Linked DNA regions of Oryzias latipes. The protein of the gene in region 1 interacts with the protein of each later gene in a biochemical or structural test. Links are inferred from orthologs where the notes say so. Each region holds a gene or a part of one and is shown on either strand. Other genes may lie near its edges.

Region 1 (3,702 bases):
AGAGGTCGGAGCGGCCCGAGGGCCGCGCTCTGTCTCACTGAGCGCAGCGGCGGCCGGGGAGGCAGGAGCATCGGCCGTGGCTGGGAGGCAGCTGCTGTCGGTGGAGATCCGCTCCACAATGCTGGACAGGCAGTCCAGACTGGAGACGACGGAGCTGCGGTCATTCCTGTGGCCTCCTACGGCAGAAAACACCGTCAGTCAAACATGATTCAAACTAGACTGTGAGGTCACTCCTCTATGTGTGAATAAAACCTGTAAACAGCTGTGTGCAGACTATTTATTGGTGTGTGTGTGTGTGGGTGTGTGTGTGTGTGTGTGAGAACCAAGTCATGCAGTTTACTTATGACACTCTTGACTCTGTATTATCCACTGCTCCCCCACCCCCCATCTCTAACATCCACTCTCTCTCTTCTTGTTTTCCGTCCGGTCCAACAAAGAATGCATATAAACATAATTATTATGAATAAAGCCTAACCTCAAATACATAAGGGGTTTACACCAATTGATACCATTGTCCAGGGAAATACTCGATTCTGATTGGCTGCTGGGTGTGGATAAAAATGTGTTAATGTACATCTAAAAAGCAGTTCCGGTCACATATCTTAAATGTTCTGTATCAGAATCTTTAGCTTCATCATCTGGACAAAAATGATCAGTGACAGGAGAACTTTCTCTCTGAACTGATGCTTTATTCAACCCATCGTGATCATCAGCATAGATATCACTTTCCTTTGCCGCACCACTCGAGGTTGGCTAAGTGGCATGTTACTGTGACAACAGGCTGCACCGCATGACAAATAGTTCGCTTTTGTGAAAAAGCAATCTAAACCGTAAAAATGACCAGAATAAAGTACTGGTTGACTATTTATTTATTTTGAAAGTCACCATGGTATAAGTGAGTAGATTTACTTCAAAGTGTTCATATTTTTAATGCACTTTGCAGTTCAACGCAGGCTTACACGGCAAGCGTTAATAATGCACCCTTTGAAGGATATTAACCCCTAAATAAATTGTGTTTGTCTAAAGATCCATAAAGTCCTGTTGTAAAAGTAAAATTTGTCCAACACAAGAGGCCTTCAGCTCTGACATACTTGCTCAGCTGTAAATATAGATATAGATATATATCTATATATATATCCTTTTTCTCATTTATAGAATTTATAGAGAATGTCATTGTTTTCTTTAACCTCATGAAAACTAAATTTATTTAGCAAAAATAAAAGCACATCTTTGGCTTCATGAACAGATTTAGTTAGATTGCAAACGCTTTATCATTTCAGATGAGCAATGCTGTCGGCTGGTTAAAGCGCAAATCGGATCTTTCCTGTGTAAAATGTTGGCGCGTGACGCGGCCCCCTCTGGCCCGCGCGCAGCTCACCGTTCAGAGCCTCGGAGAAGTAGGAGCCGCCGTCATAACTCCCCTTTTGCGTCGTCTGACACCTCGGTCCATTAAAGTCAGTCTGGAATAAAACACAATGCTTTTTTTAGAGCACGCCAAAAGAGTAAATAAAACACAATTTACACAATGTCACATTTTTGAAATATCAACACAAGGGATATTTTCCGATAGTAAACACTCGTGTATTTTTAAACTGGAATATATATATATATATATATGGGCTTTCTTTGAACAAACAAGCACAAAACAGCAGCAACAATATTATTATTTCATCTTCCTGAGTGTTTCGCACGCGTTATAAAAGGAAATTTGTCAAATAATAGAAATCCTAATGACGGGACTCGTATGTTTTATGAAGGAAATTCGTTTGAATAAATCCGGATGTTTGGTGCAAATTATAACCGATTTTTATTCAAGCAGCGAACTGCTCCAAACGACGCTGTCAGTCTATTCAAGAAATACGTAAAAAAGATTTTCACGATTAAAAAAAAAAAAGAAAAGGTTTTACGTTTAAAAATCTTATTTTCGGGAGAGGTAGTAACTGGTAATCCTCTGAATTAACTGAGTAACGCGCCTGTATAATCGAATCTAAAACGGTGAAAGTTGCCTTTCCTTTTTCTTTTCTTTTTTACTGAAGTTTTGTAAAAACTTGTGCCGTCATGAAACGACTAACTAAGTCAAGACTCCATGCGTAAAGACGCGCTGTAGCTCCAGCCTTCGCAGCTTGTCCGAACAGCGGACTCACCATTCCGTCAGAGCAGTTGGAGCGGGGGCTGGACGCGTCCGAGTCCCCGCTGTAGTGCTCCAACACCGGGTAGAAGCCATCCTCCTGGCCGGCGCGCAGCAGCGCCTGCAGGGACTCGATGTAGCTGATGGCGTTGCGCAGGATCTCCACCTTGGGCAGCCTCTGGTTGGGGTTGGCTGACGTGCAGCGCTTCAGCGTTTCGAAGGCGTCATTGACCTTGCTGAGGCGCCGGCGCTCGCGCAGCGTCGCTGCCTTGCGTCTGTCTGCGTTGGTGGTTTTCCGCTTGCAGGCTTTGCAGGCCCACAGCAGGCAGCGGCCCGCCTGGTGGTGGCCACTGGGCGCACGGACGTGCTCATCGTCCTCCACCTCCGCGCGCTGGTGCACATGGAGGACGGAGGACGGGGAGGAGGAGGACGAGCAAGGAGAGGATGAGGGGGAAGAAGAGGAGTCATCCGGCTTCAGCAGACCGCCATGGACTAGCCGTGGGTCTAGGTCCTCGAAGAAGTGCATGTCACTTGTGTTAAAACAGGGGTCATCATAGAAATCATCAGCAGCCGGGATGGGGAAAGGAATATCCGACAGCTCCATGACCCGGTCCAAAACAGGCCCGCAGAAAAGAAATACTGAGATCAACGGGCCGAGCCGAGCTATCCAGCAAACCGAAGAGAGACTCGCGATCCGCGGGTCCGGTAATGTGGGTCCTGTCAGGAGTTTTGAACTGGACTACTGCTGACCTGAAGCCTCTTATACCTGGCACATCAGCAGCAGGCAGGGGGGCCAAGGGGTCAGAGGAGTGTGACCAATCGGTGGGCAGCTGCAGGGGTGTGCGTGTGTGTAAGTGGAGGGGTTACAACTGCACGGTAATTAGAGGCCTGCAGTTAACGGAACAGCTAAAGGAAGGCCGCACACGCATTTCCGCCTTACACACCCGTGTTCAAGCGCCTCTTTGAATGCGCACACACCAGAATTTGGGGCTGTGGCGTCTGGAAGGCTAGCGGTCGCACATCACCAGCAGGTTTTTAAGTTGGGTGCGGAGCCTACAAACAAATCAAGCGTTCGTTGGTCGCGCGCTGAAAGTTCAACCGGTTGAACTTTTTCACGCTGAATCTCAGCAACGCAGCGCTGTGACCAATCAGAAATTAGGATTTGATAGTGTTTGTAGCGTCTTTTCAAGAAACAGTTATCAACCGTTGTAAACATGATCACTAAGGAGAAATGAATAATTGCGGTTTGTTTTTGGCCGGAATAAAATGACACCAAGATGGACATTTATAGGAACAGATCTGTGAAAACAAAAAGGCTGGAGCAAGATTTGAGGGAATTGAACCGCTTTGATTTTGCAGATCGAACCTCTTCCAATAAGTTGATTTAATTACAATAAATATATTGTAGGTGGCGGAGGAGCGCTGATGAAAAGAAGAACCGCCCCTGCAGGTACCTGCGTGTCTGGCGCTGGTCCGTCCGGTCTGTACACCGAATGAGTGTTCATGAAACTGCGTGGAGCGCGCTCTGGAACGCACCTTCACATGCGCACACACCACTCTTTTTTTTGTTTTCA
Region 2 (3,753 bases), on another chromosome or scaffold:
TGAACCTCCTCTTTGGTCTTCCTCTCTGTGCTCAGCATCCTTTTCCCAACATCACCATTGTCCCTCCTCTCAACGTGTCCAAACCATCTCTATCTGAGACATAGAGGGTCGTAGGGAGGTACGGCTGCATCTGAAAGGGAGTGCGGGTGTGTCATACACCCACCTCAAGGGAAGTCATAAAAATGTATTGTCCGATTGTGTGTGTGTGGTAGGCGTATCGTGAAGTTTCATAAGGATAATGTAAATTGCACCAAAGTTAAGGCCCGTACACACCGGGACGAATATTCGCCAGGCGTTATTCGCCAGCGTTTTTCGCCACGTTTTTTGTGTTCACACCCAGGCGATTTTCGCTGACGGTGAGCCGAGCGAACATGCAATTTCATTCCCTGACATTAGATGGCGCTTAATGTAAACAGAAATACTCCTGTACACAAGGTGGCGCTGCGCAACTTTACGATTCTTAAAGTCGCTTTTCACTCAGAAGAAGAGAGCAAGTATTTACGCGCTTGTCAGAATAATACAAAGAAAACATGAATATTTCAAGCACCAGTAGCTCCAACTGGTACTTGGTAAGGGGATATTTAAGAATATCCGTCATTATTTCTTTGCGGCAGTGTAGACGCTACTTGGCGTCTATCTTCTTCGCTGGTATGTGTGCTCAGCAAGGCAGTTTTGTGTTTGAGCGCCCCCAAGTTGTGTTTTACTGTAACTTCAGAAGCTCCAGACACGTGTGCAAAAGCGCCATTCTCATTGGTCGAATAGATTTCGACGCGTCGAAAAAAAAAAACGAACCCGAGGCGTTTTTTTTTTTGACGCTTTGGCGCGTGGCGTTTTTTCCCGTCGGTGTGCACACTCTCATTGGTGCCCTTTGTTAGTCACGAGGCGTTAAACGTCGGCGAAAATCGCCGGCGAAATTCGTCCCGGTGTGAACAGGCCTTTAGGGTGATGCTGTTGTACGATGTCCTTACGCCAAACTCTAATCATTAGTAAGGTGGGAGTACCTGGACCCCTACCGACTCATGCAAATGCTGCAGGCACGGGGTGTGCAGATAATACCTAACGGCCCATAGGAAGCCAGTGGAATGCTTACAAACCACACTTTGTCTAATTTCCTCAATTCTACAATTTAGGCTGCATGCACTTCTCACGTGGACAGCACTAATGTGCTCCTCGTGGGCCGAGCAGGATTTGGATGGTTCAACTAATGAAAAATCGTACATGCCTGCATCTCACCTACTTCCCCCTTCCTTGCTGGAAGGGGGAAGTGAAATGTCACCTATATCATGCCCGTAGAAAAAAACCATGCTGACCGAGTAGTCCAAGTGGTCAACAATCTTAAAATTTTGTGCAGGGCACCTGCATGCCCCGCACAGGTTCACCCATTTTTCGCTGGCAGACAGCCTGTATCCACCCGTAAGGGCAGTCGTGACTAAAGTCAGAGAGCTCCAAAAGAACTGCTCAGTCAGCTCCCACCCTCACCTGGCTGAACTCAGGTCACTGAGGACCTGAGTTCAGCCAGAAACCAGGAATTTTCTGTCTTAACAATACAGGGAGAAAAAAATACTGAGCGAAGGAGAAATGGGCCATTCTGAAGTCATCCCTAAAAGCTGTAACCGCCTTAAATACGTAACTGAGGGAAGATGTTTCTAAGTTGCTGCCATCAATCTGCTTTGTTTCTCCGTCATTGTTTTTCTGACTTTTCACATTTTTTAATTATTTATTCCCTAATCATTAAAAGTGTTTTTAGTCTTAGTTTTTTAAAATATATTCTGTATGTTTTACTTTGGCCCTGAGACAGACTGGGGACTTGTTCAGGATGTACCCTGCTTCGCCAACAGTAGCAGGGATAGGTTCCAGCAACCCCATGGTATTAAGCAGGTTAGACAAATGGATGGATTGATGCTTTAGTTTAGACTTAACAAAAGTAGTCAAAAGGAGATCATAACTAATTATTCTCTAAGTAAAAAAAACTGCTTTCTTTAGTTCCGTGGTTTTATGTAATTTTCAAAATGTTTTTCCCATTTAAGCCACAATATTTATATTAAGTTTTGACGCATCATCAGTTATCCATAGACTTTTGTGAAACCTGAAAGAGCCACGTTGCTGAACTGAGGCTTCTCGTCTGGTTTTTGGGCTCTCACCTCCTATCAGAGGTATCTGACACGTCACAGGGCTGGAAAAGTGCATTTCAAAATAAAATCATCATTTTGACATCATACAATGAATGGTAAGTCAGCAAATCCTGTGGTTTTATCAGGGACAAAGATAGACCTCAACTGAAAATGAACTGTAATCTTGGTTTTTACATGAAGCAGAAAAGTCAAAAATCAGGAAATTGTTGTCATTATGAAGAGAAAACTTAAATTGAGCGTGCTATTTCCAATGGACTGCAATATGCTTCTAAAAGATAAGCTTGAAGAGAAAGAGACATGCGCCTTACCTGTAGTCTCTGTCAGAGTGCTTTGCTTATGACAGAGAGGTTTAAATACCGTCTTCACATCAGCAGCACTCTGGCAACGCCTTGATGAAACTATCCTCTCAAAATAACATGTGACGGAGAGGAGGCCCCCCTGACCCTTTATCCCTATCTGAATAAGGCTTGAACATCAGCCACTGGAGCATTTGTGCTGCATTCACTGACCCATGCTGGGAGCTCTGACTTGATAACTGTGGCTCAAAGGCCATCTGCCCTGAATGCCACAGTATCATGGTATAAACATAGACTGTGCTGCAAGCCTAAAGAAACACTGTTTTACAGGAATCAAAAACTGCTGCTGAGTTTGTGGAAAGTATTCTCCTCCAGGCATCCTCTTATTTACTGTTCTAGAACAGAAATGGTTTTGTTTTTGACTGTCACACCTGTGAGTCTACAAAACTTTTCTAGACTTTGTAGAGAAACGTTTTAAACTAAAAGTGAACTTTGCTTTTTTACGTTTTCCTATAAAAAACCTTCTTGTACACATCCAAATGATACATTGGGATAAAAAAGTGGAATTCAAAAATTTAGGGAGAAAAAAATTGAATTCTTAATGAGAAACATAGATTCAGCAAGTTATTTAACCTTAAAAGATAAGAGGTCTATAATGTTCATCATGGAAACACAACTATGAGAGACAGAATGTTTAAAACGAATCTAGGAAATCCCATTGAATGGATTTGAAAAGAAGTATTTGGTCAATACAAGTTCTTTTCAATACTTTGTATTGTTACCCTGGTTGTTAATGACAGAGGTCAAAGGTTTCCTGTAGGTCTTCACTGAGTTTATTCTGTAACTGCAATTTTGGTCCATTCCTCCATGCAGATCTTCTCTAGAGCTGTGATGTTTCGTGGCTGTTGCTGAGCAACACTGACGTTCACCTCCCTCTACAGGTTTTGAGTGTGAATGTGAATGTGTGACTTGCAACAGACTGACTACCTGTCTGTAGTTTACCTCGCTTTCACCCAACATTAACTGGAAAAGGCTCCAGCAGCCTGTGACCCGAAAGGGCTTCAGGGAATTTGGAAAATAGATGGATGGTCATTAAATTAACTGTCAATCTATAGAATACAGTGGACTTTTGTAGCAATAAAAAACAACAACTTTTAGACATTTTTAGAGTGAAACTGCAGCTTTGCTCATTGTGGCTACCTTATTGGTCTGTTTACACCCTTGACTGTATAAGGGAATTGGACTGAGTGACCCCTCCCCCCCGGCCTTCCAAACAGGAAGTACCTGCTGCCTCCAGGAAGCCAAAATCCCATAGAGGTCTATAG

The links. The genes of interacting proteins can lie anywhere in the genome.
Region 2: the proteins of myod1 (region 1) and csrp3 form a complex in vitro, tested with the Homo sapiens proteins (2 studies listed by BioGRID and IntAct, with this or other methods). The link is inferred for Oryzias latipes from reciprocal best matches to the Homo sapiens genes MYOD1 and CSRP3.

The regions. Positions count from the first base shown.
Region 1 is NC_019864.2:6,432,615-6,436,316, forward strand, and holds the start of myod1 (myoblast determination protein 1), read right to left. Parts: upstream 2,936-3,702; 5' UTR 2,733-2,935; coding exon 2,145-2,732; intron 1,461-2,144; coding exon 1,379-1,460; intron 177-1,378; coding exon 1-176. UniProt on the Homo sapiens protein: Acts as a transcriptional activator that promotes transcription of muscle-specific target genes and plays a role in muscle differentiation. Together with MYF5 and MYOG, co-occupies muscle-specific gene promoter core region during myogenesis.
Region 2 is NC_019861.2:6,163,310-6,167,062, forward strand, and holds the start of csrp3 (cysteine and glycine-rich protein 3), read right to left. Parts: upstream 2,556-3,753; 5' UTR 2,441-2,555; intron 1-2,440. UniProt on the Homo sapiens protein: Positive regulator of myogenesis. Acts as a cofactor for myogenic bHLH transcription factors such as MYOD1, and probably MYOG and MYF6.